Linked DNA regions of Caenorhabditis elegans. The protein of the gene in region 3 interacts with the protein of the main gene of each other region in a pairwise test. Each region holds a gene or a part of one and is shown on either strand. Other genes may lie near its edges. The genes, in order: peb-1, ceh-22, fkh-6 and ham-2.

What was found.
Region 1: the proteins of fkh-6 (region 3) and peb-1 interact in a two-hybrid assay, tested with the Caenorhabditis elegans proteins (one large-scale study listed by BioGRID).
Region 2: the proteins of fkh-6 (region 3) and ceh-22 interact in a two-hybrid assay, tested with the Caenorhabditis elegans proteins (one large-scale study listed by BioGRID).
Region 4: the proteins of fkh-6 (region 3) and ham-2 interact in a two-hybrid assay, tested with the Caenorhabditis elegans proteins (one large-scale study listed by BioGRID).

The regions. Positions count from the first base shown.
Region 1 is NC_003284.9:2,209,484-2,217,072, forward strand, and holds the start of peb-1 (FLYWCH-type zinc finger-containing protein peb-1), read left to right. Parts: upstream 1-1,567; coding exon 1,568-1,612; intron 1,613-2,758; exon of another isoform or gene 2,759-3,049; intron 3,050-3,974; exon of another isoform or gene 3,975-4,097; intron 4,098-4,152; exon of another isoform or gene 4,153-4,534; intron 4,535-4,751; exon of another isoform or gene 4,752-5,099; intron 5,100-5,322; exon of another isoform or gene 5,323-5,508; intron 5,509-5,746; exon of another isoform or gene 5,747-5,963; intron 5,964-6,146; coding exon 6,147-6,269; intron 6,270-6,336; exon of another isoform or gene 6,337-6,458; intron 6,459-6,467; coding exon 6,468-6,569; intron 6,570-6,624; coding exon 6,625-6,798; intron 6,799-7,155; exon of another isoform or gene 7,156-7,418; intron 7,419-7,589. UniProt on the Caenorhabditis elegans protein: Putative transcription factor. Binds to specific sequence motif 5'-[TC][AGT]TGCC[GA][AT]-3' in regulatory elements of target genes such as myosin myo-2. May modulate gene expression, perhaps acting in opposition to transcription factor pha-4.
Region 2 is NC_003283.11:10,671,013-10,675,904, reverse strand, and holds ceh-22 (Homeobox domain-containing protein), read right to left. Parts: upstream 3,272-4,892; coding exon 3,060-3,271; exon of another isoform or gene 2,982-3,059; intron 2,925-2,981; coding exon 2,832-2,924; intron 2,035-2,831; coding exon of another isoform or gene 2,012-2,034; coding exon 1,926-2,011; intron 1,674-1,925; exon of another isoform or gene 1,595-1,673; coding exon of another isoform or gene 1,561-1,594; coding exon 1,465-1,560; intron 1,407-1,464; coding exon 1,310-1,406; intron 1,256-1,309; coding exon 1,019-1,255; intron 938-1,018; coding exon 827-937; intron 721-826; coding exon 513-720; downstream 1-512. UniProt on the Caenorhabditis elegans protein: Involved in combinatorial activation of gene expression in pharyngeal muscle. Specifically binds a site necessary for activity of the B subelement of myo-2 enhancer.
Region 3 is NC_003280.10:4,379,065-4,385,112, reverse strand, and holds fkh-6 (Forkhead transcription factor fkh-6), read left to right. Parts: upstream 1-1,706; 5' UTR 1,707-1,824; coding exon 1,825-1,862; intron 1,863-2,022; coding exon 2,023-2,131; intron 2,132-3,486; coding exon 3,487-3,698; intron 3,699-3,771; coding exon 3,772-3,925; intron 3,926-4,582; coding exon 4,583-4,888; intron 4,889-5,077; coding exon 5,078-5,230; 3' UTR 5,231-5,235; coding exon of another isoform or gene 5,236-5,280; 3' UTR 5,281-5,326; coding exon of another isoform or gene 5,327-5,497; 3' UTR 5,498-5,528; downstream 5,529-6,048. Other genes in the region: B0286.1 (uncharacterized protein), read right to left, coding at 132-294, 1,431-1,490, 5,236-5,280, 5,327-5,497, 5,542-5,696. UniProt on the Caenorhabditis elegans protein: Probable transcription factor. Binds to the DNA sequence motif 5'-[TA]TGTT[TG]T[TG][ATG]TT-3'.
Region 4 is NC_003284.9:4,552,841-4,559,928, reverse strand, and holds ham-2 (Zinc finger protein ham-2), read right to left. Parts: upstream 5,245-7,088; 5' UTR 5,236-5,244; coding exon 5,076-5,235; intron 4,431-5,075; exon of another isoform or gene 4,287-4,430; intron 3,997-4,286; exon of another isoform or gene 3,555-3,996; intron 3,187-3,554; exon of another isoform or gene 3,048-3,186; intron 2,818-3,047; coding exon 2,644-2,817; intron 2,596-2,643; coding exon 2,324-2,595; intron 2,274-2,323; coding exon 2,091-2,273; intron 1,999-2,090; coding exon 1,855-1,998; intron 1,364-1,854; coding exon 1,118-1,363; 3' UTR 521-1,117; downstream 1-520. UniProt on the Caenorhabditis elegans protein: Probable transcription factor that acts downstream of egl-15, to promote migration of the HSN motor neurons from the tail to the gonad primordium during HSN cell differentiation.

The DNA.
Region 1 (7,589 bases), on a different chromosome or scaffold from region 3:
ACAACTGAGATTATATCTCGATTATACAAATCACTTGCTCCGGGTTTTTTTCTCTAGATTTCCATCGGTTTTGGGACTGCACTGGAGATTTTTGGATGAACATGTGAAAATTTTTTAAATAATGCACAGGCCGAACAGTCACACTTTGAAAATAAATTGATGTGATCTATGCAGATAGTTGCAAATTTCAAAAAACTCTACCCCTGAACACTGTCATTCTGCCATGCCATAATTTAGTTCAGTCGGATGAATGACCTTTCGTTGGCCAATTGGATGCGAAACACTGGACGGCACCGAATCGGCACGGCAAGTGGTACTGACAAGCGACAACAAAGACGGATAGACCATCAGTTAAATCAAGATAAGAATTGCTTGTGAACTTTTTCAGATATCGCATTAGGTCGAGAAGTTAATCAAATCATTGCTTTTTGAAGACATCACTGAAAGTGCCAATATTTTAGTAATTGATATTTACACAAGGGACCCCACTGAACTCATCAATTTTAAAATGTGATTTCCAGTTGATGTAAGCAACCAAGAAAAAGGCATATTACTTCAGGTTTTTTGCACTTTTATTTTCCAATCTCACAAATGTGGGCGTATGATGAGCGGCACACTCACGCATCCAAAAGTTTGCCGGATTCATAAAGTAGTATAGAAGTGTCTCACGAGCGTGGAGGGTGGCGCTGGCCCGAAAAAAAAATACGCTGAGACTGTATTGGAAAAGTTTAATCACGTATTTCGCTCGACTCGTCATTTATTTGAGCCTTAGTTTGTGTCTCGCCGTTTTTGGTTTTCCGCCTCTCCCTCATTCCCCCCGGTCTATTCCGAATTTGCCGCGACCCATCACAGGTCACGAACTTTAGTGCCCGCACGCCGCGTTTTGTATCTGCCTGCGCATCTACACGCTGACATACTATTTGTTTGATCCGCGCGGAACTGCCACAAACAACAACAATCTGCGTCCGGCGAAGACGTCGTCACCATATACCCATCTATTGCATCCAACTCATCTCTTTCTTGTATTTAATTCCTTTTTCACACACCCACACACACACACACCACACCACAGGTTGCAAACCATTGTATAATTTTCTGAAAAGCACTGTAACCAATTAGAAAACGATTTTTCAAAAGTGGAGCAGTGCTACATATATGATACCAAAATAATCAAATTTTGTATTAAAACTTTTAAAAAGTCAAAAAAAATCGTTTGAAATGTTTTTTTTACTGACAGTCAAAAAGTGGAAATTTTTAGAGTTTATGCCTCGAACAAAAACTGAGATTTTTCCAATTTCCAATTCCAGTTTGACACACATAGTGCAACTCCAATTGCTCATTATTTTATTAGTTTATTCTTACAACCATCACCCTTTTCCCAGATGTATTTCGTACCATGATGTGTGTATGTGTGTGTGTTAAAAGGTCATTTCAAGCTCTTCGTGAAAGGCACCCTGCTCAGTTTGTGCCCTGTTATGATCAATATAAATGTGTACTTTATTCCAGGGCAACGAAACGAGTAAACACCGAGAAAAGGAAGCATTCTGGATATTCCAAACTGGGGCTGATGATGACAACAACAGTTCAAAAAAATTGCTGGCGGCTTGACCAGGTGAGTGACCAGTTAGATTTGTTCAGCGACAGGCGTTTTCAGTCGGTGGTTTGAGTTTGCACAACTGTTTTCTTGTCCTTTGCGTGAGCCAAGGGGTTTGTGCTGAGTTACCCTCTATCTATTTGTCAGAATACGATGTGATGATCAAAACTTTAACATCATGCATTTTCTTGAGATCCATAAACCCCCCCCCCCCCCCCTCTCGTGTGCTTCTCTGTTTCTCGGTTTGTTCTCCTATTCACCCCGTTCGTTTCAGTGACGTGTCGTCGTTTGTTTCTGCCTGCCAAATATGGCTACGGGGGGGAATATGAATTAAATTGACTTGGTATCTATCATTCCATTTTTATTTTCTGGGAGATGTCAAGAAATTTTGGAGACGAGCGGTTTTTAAAATTAATGTAGTTTTTTTTGTTGTGTTCTCACATTTTAGTTTTCTAATCGGGGAAATGTTGGAGTAAATTGTAATTGATAGGTACACATTTACTTATCAATGGTTCACAGTTTCAGTTAATTATCAGTATTCATATGCGTTTTTATCTTTTGTATAATTTTAACATTCTACATTTTGCAACCAAAAAGCTCTCTATGTTTCTCCTTTACGGGCGGAAAGTAGTGCTGGCTTGTACCATTGCCAATCAGCTCTTTGATTAAAAAACCAACATATCAGTTGACAGTACCATTTTGCCCCTGCTCGACTTCAATGGGCCGCGCCAGATGAGTCAGCGACCTTTGCACACGAGCCCGGACAGTGCTAGGCGCCGGGGCATGACCAATGCGCGAAAGTTTTGTTGCGTAACCGCATGTTTATTGTCCGCTTGCCAATCGTTTTCACTTTTAGTGATACTTGCAGCTCGCCCTCGTCGTTATATTTTTTTTCTGACCGTCGACGCTTGCTTGCCTTCTCCGAAAAGTTTTGATATAAAACTAGCAGTATTTTTCGTTCTGTGGCTCATAGTTTCTGACGTCTTCCTCTTTATGACTTTACGCGGAAGAAAAGGGCAACATCTAAAACCACCCAGTAATATAAAGTGCGCGGTTTCGAGGGAACAGTTTCGAGAGAAAGATTAAGTAGATGAAGGCAGAGAGAACCAACATTTGCAAATATAGTACTAGGTTGGAGGAGTGCCTCGGCGCTGCGATGCCTGTCTACAAGTTTGCACTTGGCTGGTCAGTGGCGTTACGTGCCACTCTCTGTACTGCGCGAGACGTGGCCAAACTGATGCGAAGCACAATATATACACGCCCCGAAGGGTCATTGTTTGCCGTTTGCCCCCCCCCCCCTTTGCGGAAAGGCCTTTCGTACTGTACTCTTGATGTGTGCTTCCTTCCGGCCGGGCACCCGCCACCGTGGTTGTCACAACTCGGATGGCTCCCACTTCCTCCACTGTCGAAACCGTTCGGACCGCCCATTTCCATTTTGGCTCACGCCGGGCTCTCGCACACATACTTTCCACACTTCTACTGTCAGTGGTGGCAACTGGAAGCACTCCATAGTTGACTAATGACCTTTCTAACCTTGTTCCCTGTACTAGAGCTATCAATTGTGTATCATTTCTCTTTTACACTATTTCATGTTTGAATTTTCGAACAGGGGGTCAATCTCTGAGGCAGGAAGGGTGGAGCACCAGTAACGCACTTTACTCGTTTTGCCTTGGCGCGTTCATTGTTCCATTTCACAATTTTTCTCCTAATTTTCTAGACCACTTCAGTTTTTAGAAGCGCTAGATGTTGTTTCATGAAGTGACCAGTCTTGCGTGTTCAGTTTTTTTCTTGGCGTAAATGCCCACTCTTCTTCTTTTCTCCTAGCTGCCCCTTCTTCACTTTCTCCAAATCAAGGTTCAGCTATAGAAAGTAAAATCGCCTTTCACTCATCCTGGACAAGATTGACTACGAGCTTTTGCAGCTTCTAAGACTTCTTCGAGAATGGGGGGGGGGGGGGGGGGGGCGCGACGTGAAAATGAAGGGCATTCATGGATCCCGTAGTAAATATGTGATATCATCTATACCAATTTTCTGGATATCGAACTAATCATTGACGATTGCAAAATTTCGAAAAATTTGTAGGAGAGAAACGATTTCATCTGACCGATCCGAGACTGGCACCCCTTTGTTCTAGGCCCTCTCCCGATTGCCATAGAGATGTCCATCCATCACCTTTCCTGACAACCCCAGATGGTGGCGTATGTGTATGTGTGTGTTTTTTGACTAATTGGAAACGAAAAGCCGACTCCAGACTTGTAATTTTGCTCCAGCAATGTTTTTTTTCCAGATCTTTTCAAATTGACGAATCTGCCTTTAAACGTTTCGTGATAGACATAGAAATTGACATCCGGTCAAATAATTAGATGAAAAAACCTTCCATATTGGGGGCAAAACGTCCAAGTGAGAGTGGATCGGCGACTGGCGCCAAATTGCTGCTGCCGACGCAGTTACCATACTTGGATGTCGGACAAGGCGGATTTCGAGAGTTGTTTTTATGTACACACGCCTTTCACCTCTTTGCCCCTTGTGATCTTTTTTGCATTCGTTAGACGCTTCTTTCATTTTCGTTCCTCATCACCATCATCATCCACTACTAATGGTTCAGGGCACGGCGTATGCGCGCGCGTGCCTCACACCATCGGATCGCGGATGTTTTGGCGGGGTTGGCTGTTCATTTAGGGGGGAGGCGGCCGATTGAAATGAAGAAGATGTTGTGGATGTAGAAGTAGGAGGAGATGGAGGAGGCAAAGGCCTTCTCCCTCGCGGTTCTTCGTGGCAGGCAGCCTGACCCCGTTCCTTACTGAACCGCCCCCCCCCCCCCCCTCTCACTTCCACCCGACGCCGCCATCGGAATTTTAGACTACCAGTAGAATATGGATAGCGGAAGGTGTGAAACTTCAGACTGCGATTCTCTAGATTCACGCTTACTGTATTTCTACCTTACTACTAGTCTTGTTACGATTACCTTCCTAATTTTAACGTTTGATATGTTTTCACCTTCGGCTTCTATACAATTCCCATCATCTTGAAATAGGTATTATCAGCATGTAAGCATGCCAAACAAATATTTTTGTTGTCCAGTGGTGCTCGACCGTTCCAGGATCGGTATTATGCAATTTTTCGCTGAACCAAGCATATACATACTGATAAGAAAAATGTTTGTTCTGTCGGCCACTGATTACTAGACACTTGAATTCTGACCGCCATAAATGGCGAATCGTACGCGAGAAGTGCTGACGCCGTCTTGCGCCGATGTCCAATAGGACCTTGCACTTTGCCGATGTTGCAACAGTAATAGTTTCCATCAAGGTTATGCGGACTAGTGCCACGCGATTGGGTCAAGCCGTTGGCTTCCGCCTTTCTTATCAAAATCTTCGCCCTCAATTACCTAATTTTGTGGTTTTTTTTTTCTCTCCCGAATCCATCAATCCGGTGTCAATCCGTGTCTTCCGCGCTAGGTCATGCGGGCGGCGACGGCGCGGCCCTTTTTTCGGTAATCGTCCTGGCATCCCACACTTTCCATTGGCCCGGATATAATAACTTTTTGGAGACCCCCTTTCTGGTGCCTATTTGCAAAACTTGCTTCATTTTTGGTCACTTTTACTCGAACTTTCTCTTCGACGATGACCCCCTCGCCCGCCACAAAAACAAAAAGTGAAACTTGGAACGGTACTCGTTATACCTCATGCCTTTACTTTCTCGCGCCACTTCCTCGCAGTATTCCATGGATGGAAAAGCGGTCAAAAAAGTATTATGATCAGGCTGGCGGAAGATAGATGGAAGGAATTGTGGGTCAACGAAGTCAAAACACCATTACTCGATAAAAGTCGCCGCATGTTGCGGAATGTGTGCCATCGAAACTGGTTACTGTATTTCTTTTCCGAGAATTTTGCTTTGCCCCGCTATCAACTTTTTGTTCTATCTTCTTTAGAAATTCCGAATTAAATAATGATAATCATATACTTCTGTATTCTTTTTAACCCTTCTTTAGTCTGTTTTTGAAATTTCGACCAACCACCTCAACAAAATTTACCAAAATCAAAAAAAAAAGTGAATGTGTCAATCTCGTTTCAACGCATGTTTCTCGCCAATTTCCGTACAGTCAGTTGTGCCTCCTGCCGGTCACTCATCCTCTATCTCTTCGCCACTCTCGTTCTCGCGCACCTCATCCAAATAACAGTATTCGGTGTCTTAGTTGGCAGCCGGTTGGTGCCTGCCACGATAGGTTATCAGTTCAAATGGCACGCGCCTCTCTCGACTGCCCCATCAGCTGATTTGTCCGCCCCAAGCAACTGATAGTGCCTGGGGCGGAGAGATAGATGAGAAAAAATCGTCTGATTCTAGGTGTCTGAACCTCGCTCGCTATCCAACAGCAGGTCCGCTCGTTTTTTTTGTCACATCTCTCTTCGTTGGTCATATCTCTTTTTCATCATCTGTCTAGTTTGAGTTCAATTTCTAATTCATCAGAGGTCATTTGGTTATTATTATTCTATTGCTCCCATCGCTATTTTTTTTTGCTCATTTGATTTAACACATCAATTTTCCTTTTCAGACAATGCTGGGTCTTGAAAAGCCTGGATCATCAGACATTTCGTCTTCTTCCACTGATACTTCCGCCATTTCTCCGATTAGCGTGAGCAGTATGCCACTATCACCGGACAAGGAAAAGAAAAAGGTAAGTACTTTGAGATAACTGTTTGGACTGTCCGAAGGGCAAACATAGTTTTGAAAGAGAACGTTTGCATAGTTGACCGGTGTTTGTTCAGACGGAAAATTTAGGGCTTCCTTCCCACACGAATTTCAAAACAACCTGACACCGGGAAACACCGCCTTAACTGGCGATTTTGGGCCGATAATAATAGTTTTTTTTCAGATCTCATTTGTCCGATACAATCCAGACATTCCACAAATTGTCACATCTTTCAAAGGATATCAAAAACTTATGTATCAAGGCTACCGATATAATATTTATCAGGTATCATAGACCATCATTCAAGTGGTGACTTTCATCACGAGTTGTTTTTTTTCAGATTGCTCCAGAACGTAACTTCAAGTCTTGGAGATGCGTTTGCGCTAAGAAAATGCATGATGGGCAGTGGTGCAAATGCCGAGCTGAAACAACCATGGATAATAAAAACGCATGCACGAAAGGATCACACAATCACCCTCCAAGACACCATGTCGCTGAGATCGAATTTATCAAGGTACGTGGCGAGATTACACAGTCACAACTGTCTAGGTTAAGAGCTAGTGCCCTTTGCAATTGGCGCAGTGCCAGATCAGAGCACCGATATCATAAGGTTGAATTTGCCAGCTGACTCTTTTTGTTCCAATTGGTTCCTAGGCTTGGCGCCTTCAAGTTCGAATTTCATAACGTCATGTGGAACCTCTAGCTTTTGAGAGTGTCTAAGGGAATTGTGTGTACGTGCAAAAAAGATAACTTTTTTTTATTTCGTAACCCTTAAAAATTCACTTCATGGCACCAGTAGATGGAAAAAAAAGATCGTCGGCCCTTTTCGAGTGTGTCAAAAATAGTTTGTGTATACAAGTTAAAAGTGCAACGAGATGCGCTACTTTCGGCGCTGGGTGGCGCCGCCGAGTGCCTAGGTCAGTTGCGATGTTGGTCAGGTCAAATAAAACAATCTGAGCGTGGCACGGTTCGAAACATCGGCCACTCATGCGCGTGCCGCAATTTTGCCCCCCTCCTCCCTCCCATGTTGATGAACCGCGAATAATTCGCAAACAGATCCGCGCATTGCCAAGGTCAAGCCATGGATGGCAGGCACGCGGCAGCGCGCGCGGGGACAGGCTGGGCCATACCACCCGACTCGTTAACCTAGATGCGCCAATTTTCCCAAATCTATTGCGTCGCTGCCATTCAAATTGACGGTACAAACTTTTTGCGAATTCTTCCGAATTGGGTCATCGGAAGGGTCAATTCTGACGCAATGTAAAGTGCATCGAATTTCAAATCCTGATTCGACCTTTGTAGATG
Region 2 (4,892 bases), on a different chromosome or scaffold from region 3:
AATCAATAATTTATTTTCGTTTTCCTAATTTGTTGAAAGTTTAATTGAAGGGTGAACAAAAATGTTCAAATGCAACTTGGCAATAAGCACACGTGTTAAAAACATTCTATGTCATACATCAAAATGTACTCCCCACTTTATTCAAAACTGCAAAATTTTTTGTGAACTTTCTCCTTGGAAATTGTGTAATCGATACGAAATCTTCCAAATCGTAAAACATGTACATAGAAGACGGTCTGTTAAATGCATTATACATAGTTAAACATACATTTTTCATGTGGTTTCAACGTAAATTTTAAGTCATTTAATAAAATTATCACAATTTACATAAAACATGTGTATGGGCATAACTGATAAAATATTTCAAAAACCGGTAGTCCGAACTGATTTGTTGTTATAAATTTGTAGATCACAATTCGGAGAAAATATGTAATAATGAGAAATGAGCAATTAAAAGTGAGAAACGAGATGTATTCTGGGAAAAATTGACATGGTATAGAGTATTAGAGAAATCAAGAAGGCCACCATTGAGTATTGGTCATGTAGGAAGAAGCTGCTGAAGGTCCGTTTGAAAAATACCCGGAAGTGGCTGGGAGGTAGGCGGAAGGTGTTGGTAGGTATCCTGAATTGGCACTTCCAAATGCTACCGTGTATGGAGATGTTGAGGAAATGTCCGAAGAACGAGCAGAAGAGTCACGGACTAGCATTGGTATCGGCATTCTGTAAATATACAGGTACAATTTAATATTTTAAATTTTGTTTGATATCAACCAACTTTCTCCATGTCACAAAATATAAAAATGAATTGATTTTGAATAAAACTCACGCTCTTGTTGGAAAACTGGCCGCTGTCGATTGACTTGAAAATGCATTGGGCATTGTGGTAAGAAGCGCCGCGTTTATTGGCTTATCCGTATGACTTTTTTTTGTTTTGTATCTAAATTTTTAAAAGTTATAATTGAACATAGAAAAGTCATTATGTAACCACAAATAAATCAAAATTTCATAAAATACTAACCGATGATTTTGGAACCAAATTTTTACTTGAGTCGGAGTAAGTCGAATTTGCATTGCAAGAGCTTCACGTTCAGGCGCGCTCAGATATTTTTGCGAGCGGAATCGTCGTTCAAGTTCATAAGTTTGTGCTTTTGTGAACAAAACGCGACGCTTTCTCTTTTTCCGTTTTCCAGTTCCATCATCTTCTTCGTCATTCTCTTCATCTTCCAGAATTTCATCTTCATCTTCAAGTTTGATTCTGAAAATATACGTTGGAATAAGAATCAAAATTAAATTGAAATTATGAACTCACCCATCTTTATCGCTTTTGTTTCCATTTGATGTATTGCTGTTATCTAGCATATCATTCTCAGAACGTGGAAATTGATCAGGTAGAGTGTACATGGAACCTACAAAATTCAGTTAGGTAGGTTTAACATTTATTTTTCTAATAGGGAAAAAACTTACCAGCAATTCCGTTTGAAGCAAAATATGCAGATGGATCATAGCTGCCGTATGTGCAAGGATCGAAGGAAAATGTGGGAGTAGCAGAATATCCTGAAACTGGGAAAACCCTTGTTTCACTTGCTAATTGCATAATAATTTGTCTGGCTTTAGAATAAAGAAAGGTAGAAGAGGAAAAAGACTCGTGATAGAGAGTCGCGGCGCCAAGAACAGAGAAAAAGCCCCTTTCTGTTTACTTGCATCCATTCATTTCCGATTCTAGGTAAACACGAAATAGCGAATTTAAATAAGAGAATGAGACAGTATACCGTATACAGTATCCCTATATCACCTATATTCAGAAAAGACATACGAATACTGTATAGTGTTCTCACGGGAAGGTGTTGTGTTACTTATTCCCGCATTACATGTTACACAACAATTCGTTATTGGATATTCGAGAAAAGAAGTTCAAATCTACTTACCTGCAAGTAATGGAATGCTATCAGGCCACGTGGAACATTGTAAATTGGTGTCGGTGGGAAGTAGAGTGTCCCATTTAGCTTCGAGTCTGGAAAATGCATAAGTTTGCATGGTGAAATGTGAAGGAGTCGGACAAAAAACAAGCTTTTATATAAGATATGCGGTGTTTTGATTTGCAAAAAGGTACGAGAAGCGGCGATTCAAGAGTTTCAAATAACTTCTCCACCGCCTTTTGAAGTTGCCGAAAATAGTTAAAACTTTATTGTGAAACATTTTCCAAAATGCTTTGATATAAGCGCTTGGTCGAGGAGAGCTGACCATTTTCTAGGTGAATGAATGCATCTTTAAAAAAAGATACGTCGCTTTGTGCGGTTTATTAACTTTTCGTTGATTTTATACTCGTAGAAAACATTTTAAATTTAAGCACAACTGTTATTAATACTGATATTGGAAATTTTCTTTGAAAATGGGGAGAACATGGTTGAAAGTGGATGTTGCATTTTGTCTCAAGGTTAAAGATAGTCAGAACCACGAATCAACAAAACATAACATAACGGATAAAATTGCAACGCTAAAAGGCTTGAATGTCTTATTGTAACACGTCATAGCTATACATAGTAGTTCTTAGGATATTTTCATCCCGTTTCATTGTAGGAAACAATCGGGGAAAATTTGAACACAACGCATCTCAATATCGTTTCCTTATTTTGTGTGTTTAGAAATATACGTTTTTCAATTATTGAATTGGTGAAGGACAATAAAAAAATACTAGAATAAATTTTGCTTTCTGAAAATGTAATATTCGAAATAATTTTAAGCAAGTAAAACTAAATTGTTCGTTTGAATATCATTAGATTTTTGTTTCATAAATATCATTTGTTTGTGGAAATTTCAAAGAAACTGCGTACGATTTGGAATTTTCGCCAAAAAACTTCTTGGAAATAATTGAGTAGAAATGAATAACGCGAATGGAAAAGTTGTGGATATAGAAATGAAACGTCCTGAAATGAACAGATACTAGTGGAGGATGTAATCGAATATATGAGTGGAGGGGGATCTCTTCACATAAAGTGGATCATCTTCAAGACGACAAGCCTCCTCTCCTCTCCGACCTTCTCTCTTCAAAAAACACTTACTTGTTATGAAGTGCCGATTGTGACTGCTGTTGTGGCGCCGCTGATGCACTTGAAGCCGATGAAGCGGCGCCGCCATCTCCAGTTCGAGAAGTGGTATCATTCACTCCGACGCCAACACTTGTAGACAATCCATGTTGCTCCGATGGGCTTGCAACGGATGAAACCGAAGCGATAGAAGGCGTCGCTGCTGCTAGCGCCGACACGTTGAACATCGGCTCTCGAGACTCGAGTGCAATTGACAACCGACCCTCTTGTGCTGATTGCAACACGCCCACCTGTGCTCCCTCTGGCTCGCCAACCCACAAATCGCGGAGAAAGCGAAGACGGTACGGTAGATTTGTATGCTTAGATATCTCTGCGCACTCTTGTAAGCTCAGTATACAATTTCATCTCTTTTGTGACAAATCTCGGAGATGTGAGGATGAGTAGAGTGAAGAGGAATGGAAAGTACAATTTAGTCCTATTTTTTTGAAATTCATTTCTAGTAAAGATTGTGTTATTAAAAAAAAGATCTTCTGAGACTAGTGTAATTAGTTTTATATCGGATACTTAAATATTTCCATCAAGACAAATATATAGATTATGTAAAAACTTTATTACACTTGAAACTATGCCTACTTACTTTTGAAACCAGTACAACATTTTGGCATTCTTTATAAAGACAAGGACCCAATTGCGGAATAGATTTGAATTAGTGGTCATTGTATGCAATTAATGGTTAAAGATAAATCTCATCAAGGCTCCTTTCACAAATTAATAACAATAATCGATTAGGTACCAAAGTCGATATCTTAATACATAACTTTCCATAATAGATCAAATTCTATCTTTTTGCACACGTTATTTATTTGCTGGGGTATGAGCATCTCGGCTAACAATAATCAAGTGTAGTGCTCGAACTATAAGTGGTTCGGCAAATGAGCACCCAATATATTTATGCTCATTTCGTGTTCGCAATGATCCCCCAAACTTTCGCGCACTGGATTTATTCTAGGTTAATGCTCCGAAAGCTTGAACGTAGTTCAGTAACTTTAGGATTCGATTTTGCTCAAAACTTTGCTTTAAATAGTTTTTCTATTAATTTTTACATTTCAGGAAATCAGTCAGAAAATAGTTGCCTGTAAGGCAAATCTATTATCTTGGCTTGAATTTATCTTGCTCTAACGTATTTAAAAAACAAACTCTCATTATGATAGGTTCTAGCGATTTCTGAGTAACCCTTTGAGTAGGTACAAAGCGCATATAGTCGTGCTTAACTATGTAACTGTATCACTTGCTTTGTCTACATTAAGACTATTAATATCACTGAGAGTTTGGCTTAAAAATTTTACATTGAATTCTTTGACTTAATTTGACAATTTTTCAACATAACTTCACTCATATACATATACATTTCCCCGAAAGAAAACTTGTGAACAGTATCACTGTCTCGTATTCACAACTAACCTTAATCCAATTACAAGTATTAGAATCATCTTCTACAAGATTATTGTGTACAGCCGCAAAGGGATGCCGCCGAAAAGTAAACTACCTTATTTGTGGTGTGTACGCGGGAGATGCGTGCGGACGGGCTTCTCTTTGACCTTCCAAAAACTGCTCCCTAATTTGCGCATCATCAATCTTCCTCATCAACAATTTTGGCTTTTGGATCCAAAAATACGGCCGCGTTATCTGTTTGTCCACTTACCGTAATCTTTTTTGCTCAACTTCTTGTTCCTTGCTGATTTGTGTGTGCGTTTCTCCACCTACACACACAAAATGGATTCACAATATCCTCTTCTCTATACTTTTTTACTAAGATTAGGGAACGAACGAACAAAGGTCATGAAAGTT
Region 3 (6,048 bases):
GTTTTTTCATTTTAATATTTTTTGGTAGCTTCTATTTTTGGGATTTTTTTTTAACACGTCCACGACAAATTTCAGATTTTTTCAGCTACAGTAACCCAAAGAAAAAAATAAATTTCCAGTCAAAATGTCACCTTTATTATCGCGATCCTGTGGATGCTTGTCCATTTGTTCTCTCTCCTCCAACTTTTTCACTTTTGCCTCTTCCAGTGTCTGCACCAATTCTCGTCCCAATAACAACTTTTGCGGGATGTGATGTTGAATGTTACCTCGATCGAAGAACAATGGTTCATCAGCCTGAAAATGGAGTAGTTAGTTGACCCTTATGACGGCTACTTTTTTCTCTCTTGTAGACTCATGTGAAAAGAAATACAGGGAGTAAGTAAAAATAGAAACAAGCAAGACCTTTGATCAAAAAGTTTGAAACAATTTGTTGATAAGAGAAAGTCAGACAGATAAGCAAAACAGTGGCAAATATTCAGGTGATTTATTTAAAGTGATATGTTTTCGTTTCAAATGGGAAAATATCTTGTGATTCTGAAACTACACAGAGAAAAATTGAAAGTGTGAAAAAATAGAACTATCTATGAAAAATATCCAATTTTGGAAATTGTTTGAATATTTGAAATTCTGATTATGTGGTGAATTATTTTAAACAACCATTTTTAAAATCACTTTCTTGAGGGAAATTATTATTGATAAAAATCTTTTTTTTTTCGAAAAAATCGAAAATTTTGCAATCAAAAATTTTCAAGTTTTCTAAATTTGTTTCTAAATTTTTCTGATGCTTTGGAAAATGGCTAGTTTTGTCTGAATTGACCGTTTTAGCATTAAAACAAATATTTCAAATTATTTTGGTCGATCCAGGCACTTCTATTCACTTTTCGAGGCTACAGAAAACAATGCCCAAAAATGTGGCTGGAAATTTAAAAAGTTAAAAAAATCCAGTTTTTAATGAAATTAAATTTAAATTAAAAAAAAAACGATACTTGTGGTTTATAATCATTAATTTTAAAACAAATTTGTTTTTCAGAAGTTTGAAAAAAAAAATTGGAAATCATTTTGATCTACTATTTTGCCAATTTTCCCTATTAGCCTTGCGCCGACATTGCTCCACTTTGACGACTTATGTCTTGGTTCACTTAGATTTTAACAAAAAATGATAAACTAATAAAATGTAGAGAATTATTTTGGGAGTACTTTGCCAGTTAATAATTTTTGATAAAATCAAAAAGAGCTGAGATATACGCTGTCAAAGTAAAGGAAAGTGCCTGGAAGTCTAGTAGAAAAAATACAATGAATGAAAGGTGACTAAAAGTCGCTGGAAAGTCAAAAAATATGGTCAAGTTAAGGATTAAAAAATCGCAAAATTTTCAGAATAATTCCAGATTACTGTAACGGGAGTACTGTGTACAACAAAAAGAAGCACAAACCTTCTGATTCCTGCTGAAATGTGCCGTCTCATTTTGCGAGTAATGCTCGATGGCTCCTCCCTGTAAAAAGTTGTGTGTAATTTTGTGTTGTAATACAAATATTCTCCAATCGTCGTCGTGTTCTCCCTTTCGATTTTTCGTTTATTTACAAAATATAAAAAGTAAGAGATGATCAGATTGGATGTTTCTGTTTCCCTTTTACCAGTGAATCAGCACCAGAAAATGTCAGGAGCACACAGGGGGGAGAAGGAGACAGTGTGCACAATCTTCTTCCATTTCTTTCCCTCCACCCACACCTCCGTCTTCACAGTTCCGAGACCCCGCCCTCACTCTTAGCTTCTGCATAATCCGTTGTCTCATTTGACACCCCCTACCATAAAAAAATACAATAATCATGACTCGCCATCAAACACATCTTCCATTTCATATTGTGTAAGTTATGTATTTATTTATTTTATTTATTTATTATTGTTTTTAGAGAGGGAGAGAGAGAGGGGAAACATATTTTCTTTTTCTTCTTCTCTAAATACAAAATCCCCGTTGCAAAATTCTGTTAGAGGCAAAGTTTTGAAAATAAAAGAGCTCTTTCCAGTCAAGAGGGAAATTCGATTGACAAGCCGCCATACAGTTACGTTGCACTTATTGCAATGGCAATCGATGCTTCGCCGGATAAGAGAATGACGTTGAATCAGATTTACAAGGTAACGGGAAGCTTTTCGATAACGTTTTTTTGGTATAGCGGTTTTGGAGGAATTATCATGAAAATTTTGCTAAAACTAAATACTTTTTTGCGGAAAAATACCATTTTAAAAACCCAAAACTGGTGCGGCAATTCAAATTTTGAAGAATTTTTGAGCAAATTTTTCACAATGTTAGCGGAATATTCCAGTTTTTTTTGGACGTCATATTGAGTATTAAAATATGTGCTAGAACTTTCAGTTATTCCTGCAAAAATAGATCTACGAAATTCAATTCCAAAACTTTAAAAATTACTTTTTTTCTGAGAATTTTTATCTCACTTTACACTAACTTCGAGGCTGCTGAAATTGTTCCAAATCCGATTTTTATCTTCTTTTAAGTTTTTCAGGTATAGGCAAACGTTTGAAAGATTTTTTTGTAAATTTCAATTATTTGAAAACTTGAATCATCGGAGTCTATTTAGTCATATAAAACTGATCAAGCCGAGCCATTTAATGAAACATTTTCTAGTTCAAAATGCTCCTTTGAAGCGAAAAATTTGGCGATCATCTTGTAATGACATATACTTCATTTAAAAATCCAGAAAAATATTCGTCACTTCTCCGGAGATTCTCCCTATATTTTTTGTACTTTAAATTGTTTTGAAATTACTAGAAAAGCCTCAAAATATCTGTTATTTTGGAGATTTTCTAACACGATTATATAGCAGTAAAATTAATCTGCTCCTTATTGCTACAAAAAAAACGAAATTCGAAAAAAAGTTCTTAAGGTTCTACATCATCTTTCCCATATCACATTTTCGTACAGTAAGTTTCATACATTGATATTTTTGTTGTGATATTCAGTTGGTTGCTTTTTTTTTCCACCTAGCCCTGCCCTACCGTAACCCTGTCACAAGTGATCTAGTAATGTTCAGTTCAATCTAACTCTGGAAAACCCAACTCACTAGCCAGCACATCTACCGTAACCCACCACTTCCACTCTTCCGTTTTGACTCATCAACCTTAATAGATCTGACTAATTTGGTGTGGGGGGCACCCTGTGCCTCTCCCATAACATTTACACAGTGAACAACTTTTCCTCTCTCCTACAAGTCAATAACAATGTCAATATATATATATATAGACCTTCTTCGTGTCAAGACCCAAAAACCTTAGTATTCAACTTTGACAGTTAATATCTCAGCTCTCGTTTGTCCTAAACAAAAATTGTCTACCAGCCAAATATTTTTTGGTTATTTTTCTATAGGTTTGTAGTTGATCATTCATTGATATCTTTATTATGAACCGAGATATAACCTTTCAAAGTATGTTAGTTTCCTATCAGGCGCAAACAAAACCGATGATGTGTGTTTCAGTTCATCGAGGCCAAATTCCCATATTACCGTGACGCGGACGCGAAACGAAAACAGGGATGGCAGAACAGTATTCGACACAATCTGTCACTCAACGACTGCTTTGTCAAAAAAGCACGAGACGGACAAAGCTGCGCGAACGACAGAAAGGGCAACTATTGGCAAATGGTGGCGGACAATGCGCCTCAGTTTGACAACGGCAACTTTAAGAGAAGGTATGGATAGTGACAAGAGGATTATTATTATTATACACTCGTGAAAAATGACTATTTGTTCATGTATTTACAGACGTGTCAAAAGACTTGGAATCGGAAAAATGGGTTATGCGAATACGACGGAAACTACTGAAACAGGGACCATTCTACAGCAACAGCTTCCGTTTTTCAACGGGTTGAAGTGGCCACAGAATATTCAAACTATGGATCCTTTCCAGTTTTTTAAGGTAAATAATTGCCCAGTGAAGATTTTCGGGAATCTGAACGCTAACGCCCCATGAAAAATTCGAACAGGCAACAAATTTACGAAATTGTACTAAAAATATTGGTGAATCTGTAGTAAGCTTATCGTTTAGCCCCAGAGTCCTTACTAGTTAGTTGTGAAATTTTCGTTACAACTCTTATAAAATGAAGCAAAGTTGCTTTATATTCCCAATTAAAAATAATTTTATTAATAATTGTTTTTCCAAAAAAAACTTTCATGAAAATACTCAAAACTCCGAGGAAACTGTGCCAATCTCAAAAAGATCTTAAAGAAATTAGCGAACTGTGCAAATATTTCACAAAGACAACTATGCCTGCTTGTAAATTTTAGATCATAGGCAGGCATAGGCAGAAAAATATAAAGTAGGTAAGTACGCCTGAAGGCGTGCCTGCCTACCAAAAAAGCCCAAAAAGTGGACTCCATGCCTTGGTCTACTTTGACAGCTTATATCTTGACTCCCTTTGTTGTTATCAAAAATTGTCAGTTGACAAAATATGGGCAAAATATTTCTCTACATTTAAATAATGACAATTATTTGATAAAATTTCAGGCAACCATGATATAAGCGGTCAAAATAGAGCACAATCGGGGTGCAGATCTAACACTTTCAATTTTTCAGTTCCAATACCCCAACTCCATCACTGATAGTGCCAACACCTCCCAAATCAACAACTCCTCTTCCTCATCGTCATCATTTGATACCTCAATTTACACAAGCGCCTTCCCAATTCCAACTTCTCATTTCGACACAAATCTAGTGGCTCCATCTCAACCACCACCAGTTGTGTCTGATGTAGAAGTTGTACCATCGGATACTGTCAAAGAGGAGGTTCTAGTTGATATGAAGCCATTGATCCCTGGGATTTCAAGTACAACATTCTTGACAAGTCTTCAGATGACTGATCCGAGGAGTATCGAGCAACAGGTTAGTTGAAATTTTCAAAAAATGTTTTAAATAAAGTTTATGCTACTTTTTTTTTAACTCTTGCAGCTTAATGGAGAAATTTTGAAGTCGGTAAAAATTATGCTATCTCCACTTTTTCTCCTATCTCCACTTTTTCTAAATTTTAGAATTTTCATAACTAATCAAAAACCCTCCTAAAACTTATTCCAGCAACTGCTCTCCACTGCAAGCAACATGTACCCAAACGCCTTCATGCCCCCTTATACCAATTGGTCCTGTCAACCAACAACCACTTTCACGGGATTATCATTTGATGACCCATCTCTCTATGGTTATGGACAACAATTCCCAGCTTCATCTTAACTTACCCCTGTCAACTGCCTGATCCTCGTTTCGCACTGTTTCAGTTCCTCCTGGAATAAATTTTTTGAAATATTTTGGTAATTAATTTCAGATTACCTTCAAGCTAGAATTTTCATCCGAATAATTATTCTTCACCTTCTCCTCCAAACCTTCAATTTTCTCTTTGAGACCCGCAATTTCTTGTTCATATTTTTCGATTGTTTTCTTCGAATTTTCATCGTTTTTATTGTTTTCTTTTTTTTGCTCTTTTGGCTCTTCTTTTAAAGTCTATAAAACATGAATTATGGTTTTAAAAAAATTTCAAATCTTACCTGACAATCCGTCAACTCCTTCTGGCACGTTTCTTGTTTTGTCTTCAACCCGTAAATTTCTGACTCTTTTAATTTAATTTTGCTTAAAAATTTGGTTGATTCGGCGTGGCGGGATTGTAATTCAGCCTCGATCTTCTTTTTGTGCAGCCAGATTACTGAAAGAAAAAAACAGTGATTTGACTTTTAAAGTGTTTTTTTTTCAGTTTTTTTTTAATGGCAGATCTACTCAATTTGGAGGGTTTTTCGAAGAAAAAAAATCACCGATATCAATTTTATTTATAAACTTAAGTTTATAGTACTTATTATTTCAAAAACTAATATTAATCGGAATTTAAAATTTACCAAATAAAAGTTGGCAAGAAAATCTAAGTCTCTGAGAACAAAATTTTGGTAAAATTTTGTCCAAAAAATTTGTAGTCTAAATTTGTAGTAAGTTCAAATTTTTTGAGATCAAACTGTGACCAATAATTAATTTTTTTCGAGAAAATTTTTCTGCGAGAAATTTAA
Region 4 (7,088 bases), on a different chromosome or scaffold from region 3:
GGGAGAGTCACAAAAAATTATCTAAATATTAATTCATTTTCGAGAAATATTTTAAGCATCTATTCTGCAATAACATAGATTTGACTATTTTTGGAGTTTTATATGGTTTTAGAATACTTTAAATACACTCCTGAGAAATTTTGAATAACAATTGAAGCCAAACACAAGTTCGTAAGTATTTCATCTAGCAATTTTTCGTTTTGATGTAAGAAAACGAAAGCTGCAAAAAGGGAATCAACTAGTACGAAATTTCTTGAAGCTGAAGTTTTAGACAATCGACTGAGTACATCAGGAAGAAATCAGAAATGAATCATGCTCAACCTTTCACTATGCTGATTGTGACGTCTAGTGGGTCGAAAAGGTAAAAATGAATTTTCACATCGCTTCACCTGAAAGCACATTACCCTCTGAAACGGGTTCAGTTTTGCATTCAAACAAAATGATGTTTTATGCGAGGATAACATCATCTTGTGAGAGTTTCGTTTTTGCTAGTTTTTTGTATGGCTTATTACTTCCTGCATTTTGAACTTTGAAAATTATTTATCACAAATATAATGAAATGAAATCATTGAGGGAAGGAAAAAGTCAAGGCGGGAAAAAAGGGTAATGCTATAAAAGTCAAGAAAAGGACCAGAAGAAATAAAAAAGGAAACATTTAGAACAATGAAGTAATGTAAAGGACGTTCTAGGTAAATCGCTGAGTGCATTTAAGGCTACGTTTTATTGAAGCTATTGCAACAAAAAAGTAAAGTAGATTCGGATTGTTTGGAAAATGTCCACCAGTTTCTAAGATTGCGGTAAATACAATTGTCAGGAATGAGAGCACTCTGATTTTTTTTGGAAGTTTGAAATATTTGGATGCAAAGATAAGAAGTAGCTACGAGAATAGGCATTATGTACAAAGATATAAACGACAATTAGTTTAAAAGCCAACCAAAACCGCTTTAAAAGCTGTTGGTTCTTTGATTCAGAGTATTTCGGAAATTGCTCAAAGGATTGTTGTATTTCAATGGCTCAAAATGCTGATTAGAAACAAGGAATGAAAATGACTACGTGGTTCAACTAGATTTGATGACACCATCAAAATCGGAAATAAAGAAATTGAAATCGTTTGGATCTAGGGAACCACTGAGGGACGGTTCATGTGAATCAAATTGTTCAACAACATTCTCATCGCAGGATTTTGAAATAGATTGTTCGGCCCTGGAGATGGCATAGGCATCATCGGAGGAGGCAGCATCACGGGTGGCATCGGATTCGGTTGAATTTTGCGGAGGAAATCCACTTGAACTTGCAACTCTCTAATGGTCTTTTCATAGGCACGACATTTGTCCTCAACTGCAACAAGCTTCCCTCTGGCTACCTGAAACATCATAAACTTATGTAAATTATTAAAAATATCAGTGGGTGGGGGATAACTCAGTCGGTAGTGGTGGCCGCTGAAGAACTACAGGTCACGAGTTTTTACAGTGCGCGCGCTTCTTGTAGGACACCCCTAAATTTGTGAAGCATTGGAATACATACAATTCTTCAGGAAAATTTTTTGTGATATTTGGAATCGAGTGTGTCAAAAAACCTCGAATCCGTTTTCATAAATTTATCATCACAATTGAAAGCACCCGTTTTGCTATAGGACCCTGAGATTTTAACCAGCTGAAACCTAGCGTGAACTTGAAAGTGGAGCAGTCCATGACTGGATTATCAAACTTAACCTAAAGACTAATCATATCACCAGAAGTACTGTACCTAATTCCCAGATTCTCTTCACATAGCGCTCGCAAAATGGATGGTTTTTTATTTTTTTTTTTCATATTTTAAATTATAATTCAAAACCATTTAAGACAACTTCCTAACCTGACAATCAAAGCATTTCAAACTTTCGCCCGAATGACTAGACGATCCACCACTGATGTGAGAATCCGAAACCGTTGGAGAAGGCTGATCATGGGAAATGTGGATGTTTTTGTCATCAATCGTCATTTTCAATGGTGGTTCGCCCTGAAAATTTTGAAAGTTTCATAATATGACATATTAAAGTTTAATGGGGTGAAAAACAAATTTTCCTCAAAATTTCAATAAGTTTTCCTTACATCATCGCCTTCCACATCAATATCAGCATCGTGTTCCAGTTCTCTTTTGAAAGTTGGTTCAGTCTTGACAATGACTGACCGAGGGCTGACATCACTGCTTTCCACTTCAAATTTGATGTCTTCTTCAGTTGTCTGCACTTCTAAGTCGTCATAATCGCTAATATTAGAAGACTGGATGGAATCCTTAAAATGTAATACATTTGAATTCAAAACATCAAAGAGTTGTAACGTACTTTGGACGGTGTTTGTTGCGCTGCCAGATTAAGGGCCGCCGTGTTGATGGGATTGTTGGCAAGCCACGCTGAGAGGAACTGTGAAGGACCCATGTTAGAAAGATCCAGGGGGAACATCGATTTGGAGTCGGGGCTTTTGAGCAGTGTCGGGAAAATGGATCCAATGTTGTTATTGTTTGCAGCAACTTGTAACATACGCTTTTGCATCAACAAATCAGGCGAGAAGGGTGGAGACTGACGCGGGGAGCCCGACTCGGATGTGCTATCTACAACTGCAAATTTGTATTAATGGATTTCAAAATTTGTGGGTAGATCTTTACCATCTGAACTCTTAGCTAAAACAGCCGCTTCCCCCGGTGTCCCATTTTTCAGCATACTCTGCATATGGATGTGAAGACTTGTTTTGTCGGGAAAAGCCCAATTGCAACACCGACACATAAACATTCGGGTAATGTTGTGTACTCGATACATGTGACTGCGTAGTGTATCGTTGCCTGCAAAATTGTTTCTTAAGGTTTCCTAATGACTGAACAGTGAGAGCAGTGCCGGCTCATTTCGCACTCATTTTATTATGGTAATTATCAAATACTATTTGAACCCTTCTCCAGCTTTTGAATTCATGTCTCAATGATCTAAATATTTGTCGAAAGTAACATGTAAATGGCTATTTGCCAACCCCAACTGCATTGCTATTTCCATATTCCACTTAATTGCCATTCTTTGTGCCACCGAGCCTAACTGTCTATCAATCAAATGAAATTCGCAACATTGGGACACTATACGCGCGCCCGTAAAGGCATGTTAGGTGCCAATGTGACGAATGTTCTACGACGACCCCCCTCATTTGCATGTTTGTCTGAATTTGAAAATACGCACTATAGAAAATCTATAGAATAGCGGATCTTGCCTACCGACAAAGCAGTAACACAAAAAAAAACGACAAACGCAGGGGTCAGGCTGTAAAACATTTTCATGTTATGTTTCGGTATTCTACTGGTTGATCCGCTTATTGTTGGATTGCGCACGAGTAATATAACAAATCCTGTTGATCTGCCTGCTAACATGCCGCCGTATGGATTCCACGTATAGGCGAGCGGTGAAGTAAGGTGTGAAAAAAGCTGGGTGCTTTGGCCGAAAGTTTCTTGAACGACCCCCATGCTCAGCGAACCGTAACAAATGATTGACGGCGAGTGAACAACCAATAAATTGTAATGTTGGAAAGGTGGTAGAAAAAGAAGAGGTTGCAATTTTTGTTGCGGAAGATGGGGAAAGAAGACAATCGGTGGTTTTTTTTTTACTTTGCCCGCGCGCTGGCCCTATTCTTCGCTCTCAAGCTCACTTAGCGACAGTGGCGTGCCAACAATTAGCTGATGGATGGTCATCAAATGACTGACCTTGGAGGTTCATCCTACCTTCCATTCCAAGAAAAGAAACCATTAAGTAATACATACATACCGTCGGTTATTTATGCCTCTCGCTCTCTTAGGAAGCCGCTCGGGATGGAAAGATGGGGCAATTAGACAATGCAAATAGCAGACGTGTTATTGTAAAACTGTGGCGTAATATGGTCAGAGGTGTCTTTTCAAAAGATTCTTGCACAAATATTAGAGTCAATTTGTTATTATTTAATACATGATACTGCTTTCCATTATAGCTGGAGACGCTCCAGTGGGAAATTGAAAAAAAATAACGCCGAATTTGCCAAACGACGCTACAAAAATTTTTTGAAATTTTTAATTTTGTTTTTAAAATTGGTAATTACTTTTTTGAAAGTCGTCGATAAACAGTCGCCTACATATTTTTCAAATATAAATATTCAAACATTGTAGAGATCCGAACATGCGGCATTGCTATAGTTTTCTCGAAAAGTGGCAAGAACACAGTTATTGCCACTTTTTGACTGTCAATAATGTTGGTCATTTTGGCTCTATATAAGTGGATGTTAACCATTTCCCCACTGGCACTACTCCACCTTTAAACTTTTTGCTACTAGTCCAAAAGTGCACATGGTTGTTTTAAAAGCTTAACAGATATTACTAAATAGATACTCCTAATTGACAGTCGGAGCTATCTCGGTATTTGCACACCTCCTCATTCAGTTTGCCATGCCATATAGATGTCTACAATTAAGAATACAGTAGTAGTTGGAAAGGGTGTCAATATTTAGATAACCAATGTAATTTTTTGGCGGAAAGAAGGAGACTGTATCAACCTTGTTTGACACATGCCCAATATAGCCACGTGCTAATCGGAGGGTGTGAGTTGAGTTTAAGCTTGTCAGTAAACAATGCCACTGAGCTTTCGCGCATTTCAGATTATGGAGACTTCCGATCAAATAAATGTATTGGGAGGGAGATTAGAAAAATGTAGAAATGCAATAAACTGGTAGAAGACAGAAACTAAATGCAGCAGGAAATAGAACATTCGTTCAGAATTTTAATTCAATTTTGAAAAAATAAATTAGAAAGTTAAACATCACCTAGAACCCATAATTTTTTATTTTTAGATTTTTAGATCAATTTTAAATTTTCAATAGAATAAGTTCCGTACAATTCAACAATAGCTATGTTCTCGAGTTAAGTTTCCCTCTCTTTTTTCTTATTATCATATGATAAAACATGATACAAAACTGTGAAAACATCAATAGCGGCATAAATTGTTTCGCTCTTTCTCCCCTATTGTTAGTCAAGCTCCTGCTACTCTGATTCATCTATTTCTCTTTTTTTTCTCAAACTTGCATTTTCAAACTTACTTGGAATTTCGTTGTTGCAAGTGGTACAGGTGTAGCTTTTAAAGTGAGCCTGCATCCGGTGACGACTCAGAGACGAACTGTGGCAGAATACTTTTTGGCAAATCGAGCAGGGAAATGAGCCTTTCAAATCGGGACGTTTTAGCTCTGCACGATAGGGCATTGTCTAAAAATGTTTTTGTTATTTGATGAAGCTTTTAGAAAATGGTGCTGAAATTTTCACAAAATCGAATTTGAAAGGAAACACTAACAAGGAAGAAGAAAAAAACGGTGGACAGTTTGAATGAAAGAGCGCTCATAGATGAACAAGTAGGATGGGCTACCAAGACCTCCACTACTTGAAAAGTTTTGCGTACAACACTCGAAAAGGTATTCAGACGCAGCTCTTCTCTCCGGAGACAAGAAGGTCGTCGCCGGCTGACACCAACCAGGTATTTACACCCTCACTTGATACTGTTTAAAAGTAGCGAAAAAGCATACATAGCAGCGATTGGACAATGCATTACAGTAGCTCAAGTATGGCGGGGAAGGTAAGAGTGCTCGAGAGGAGGAAGTGAGAAAATAACAGAACATTCAAAATCGAAATTTGTCACACGGCTTCTGCAATCTTAAAATGAATACTACAGTAATCCGGTGACCTGTGCTCTTGGACTAACAAAATGGCAAGCAGTAGTGCAAGAACGAGCTGAAGGCTATGACTCCCCCCGCCTACCCGATTTTTGGAGGCGGGGCATACCATGCAGAATAGAGATAGTGAGCGACGGGACGCACGGGGTGAGGGGAATGGCATCAAGCACAGTCGGGATAGTAAGTGGCAACAATTTTGGCTAGCAATTGCGAGTTGATTAGCTTTCTCAATTTTGAAAAAAAAAAGTTGGAAGCGAGTCTTAGATAGAAGCACGATGCTCTTAGGAACAGATGTGGGCAAGCTGTTCAAGCTTTTTTTTAGTATAGAACACAAGCGAATAACAGTTGGGAAACTTCTACCAAACACGGCTGACCCAAAAAAAAATAGAATGACGCGAGGGATACACCAAAAAAGCCCTCAAACCATAGACAGCATGATTGCTTGAGTTGAGGATTGCGCGCATCTTCGATTCTCGTGTTCTTTTTTCTTATTGGACGACCACAACAAAACCAGTTTTGTAAAATTGATTCGGGTTGCGCAATGCTAGAATAAACTATCCAACATCGCTATTATATTCGAATTTTTGTCTCTCTCTCGCTCCCGCTCCCCCTCTCTTCTGACTGCCATTCGACCCCATAATCACACAATGCTTTGAGGCCGGTTTTCTCGATCCGCATCAACAAGTTCAACTATCTCTATTCAATGTGCTATTTTAATTGGGCACACACTACCAAAATTTTGAAAATGTTGAGTATGACTGTTGAGTTTCTATCTATCTGTATTATTTTTTTGGGCCTACACACGCCGCAGCAACTACAGTAATTGTAGAGCGGTGACGGATAAGAGTGTGAATCTTACCCCGTTGAGATTCTCGGCACGAACAGGGATTGGCCTTGGCCGTGTGTCCAGGCGCTCGTATAATAAGGATTCACCTCCTCCCGCGTACAGGTCGCGTTCCTTTTCTTGACGGCTACATAATCAGTAGCTATCATAGCACATCTTGCCTTTTCCCGCCAAATGTCTATCTGGTATATATCTCCGAGAGAAAAGAAACAAGAGGCGAGTAAGGTAATGGAGATATAGCGAATGGATAAGAAAACTGTTCCATATACTACATCAAAAGACAGACAGGTGAACGCAAAGTGACAAGAGGTCTAGGTGGGCAAGTAGGAGGAACATATGAGAAAAAAGGGAAATGGAAATGAACATTTTTTAGAAGTTTTCAATTTTAGCAGGACTAACAGGTATTGGAAAGAATGTTTGAAGAACCTAGGAACATACTTTTATGGTCCACATATTTGCATCAATTAGACATTCAAATAGAGAATGCTCCTATTCATATATGTATTAGCATATTACAATTGTTGCGATTTTTAGTTTTTGGACTT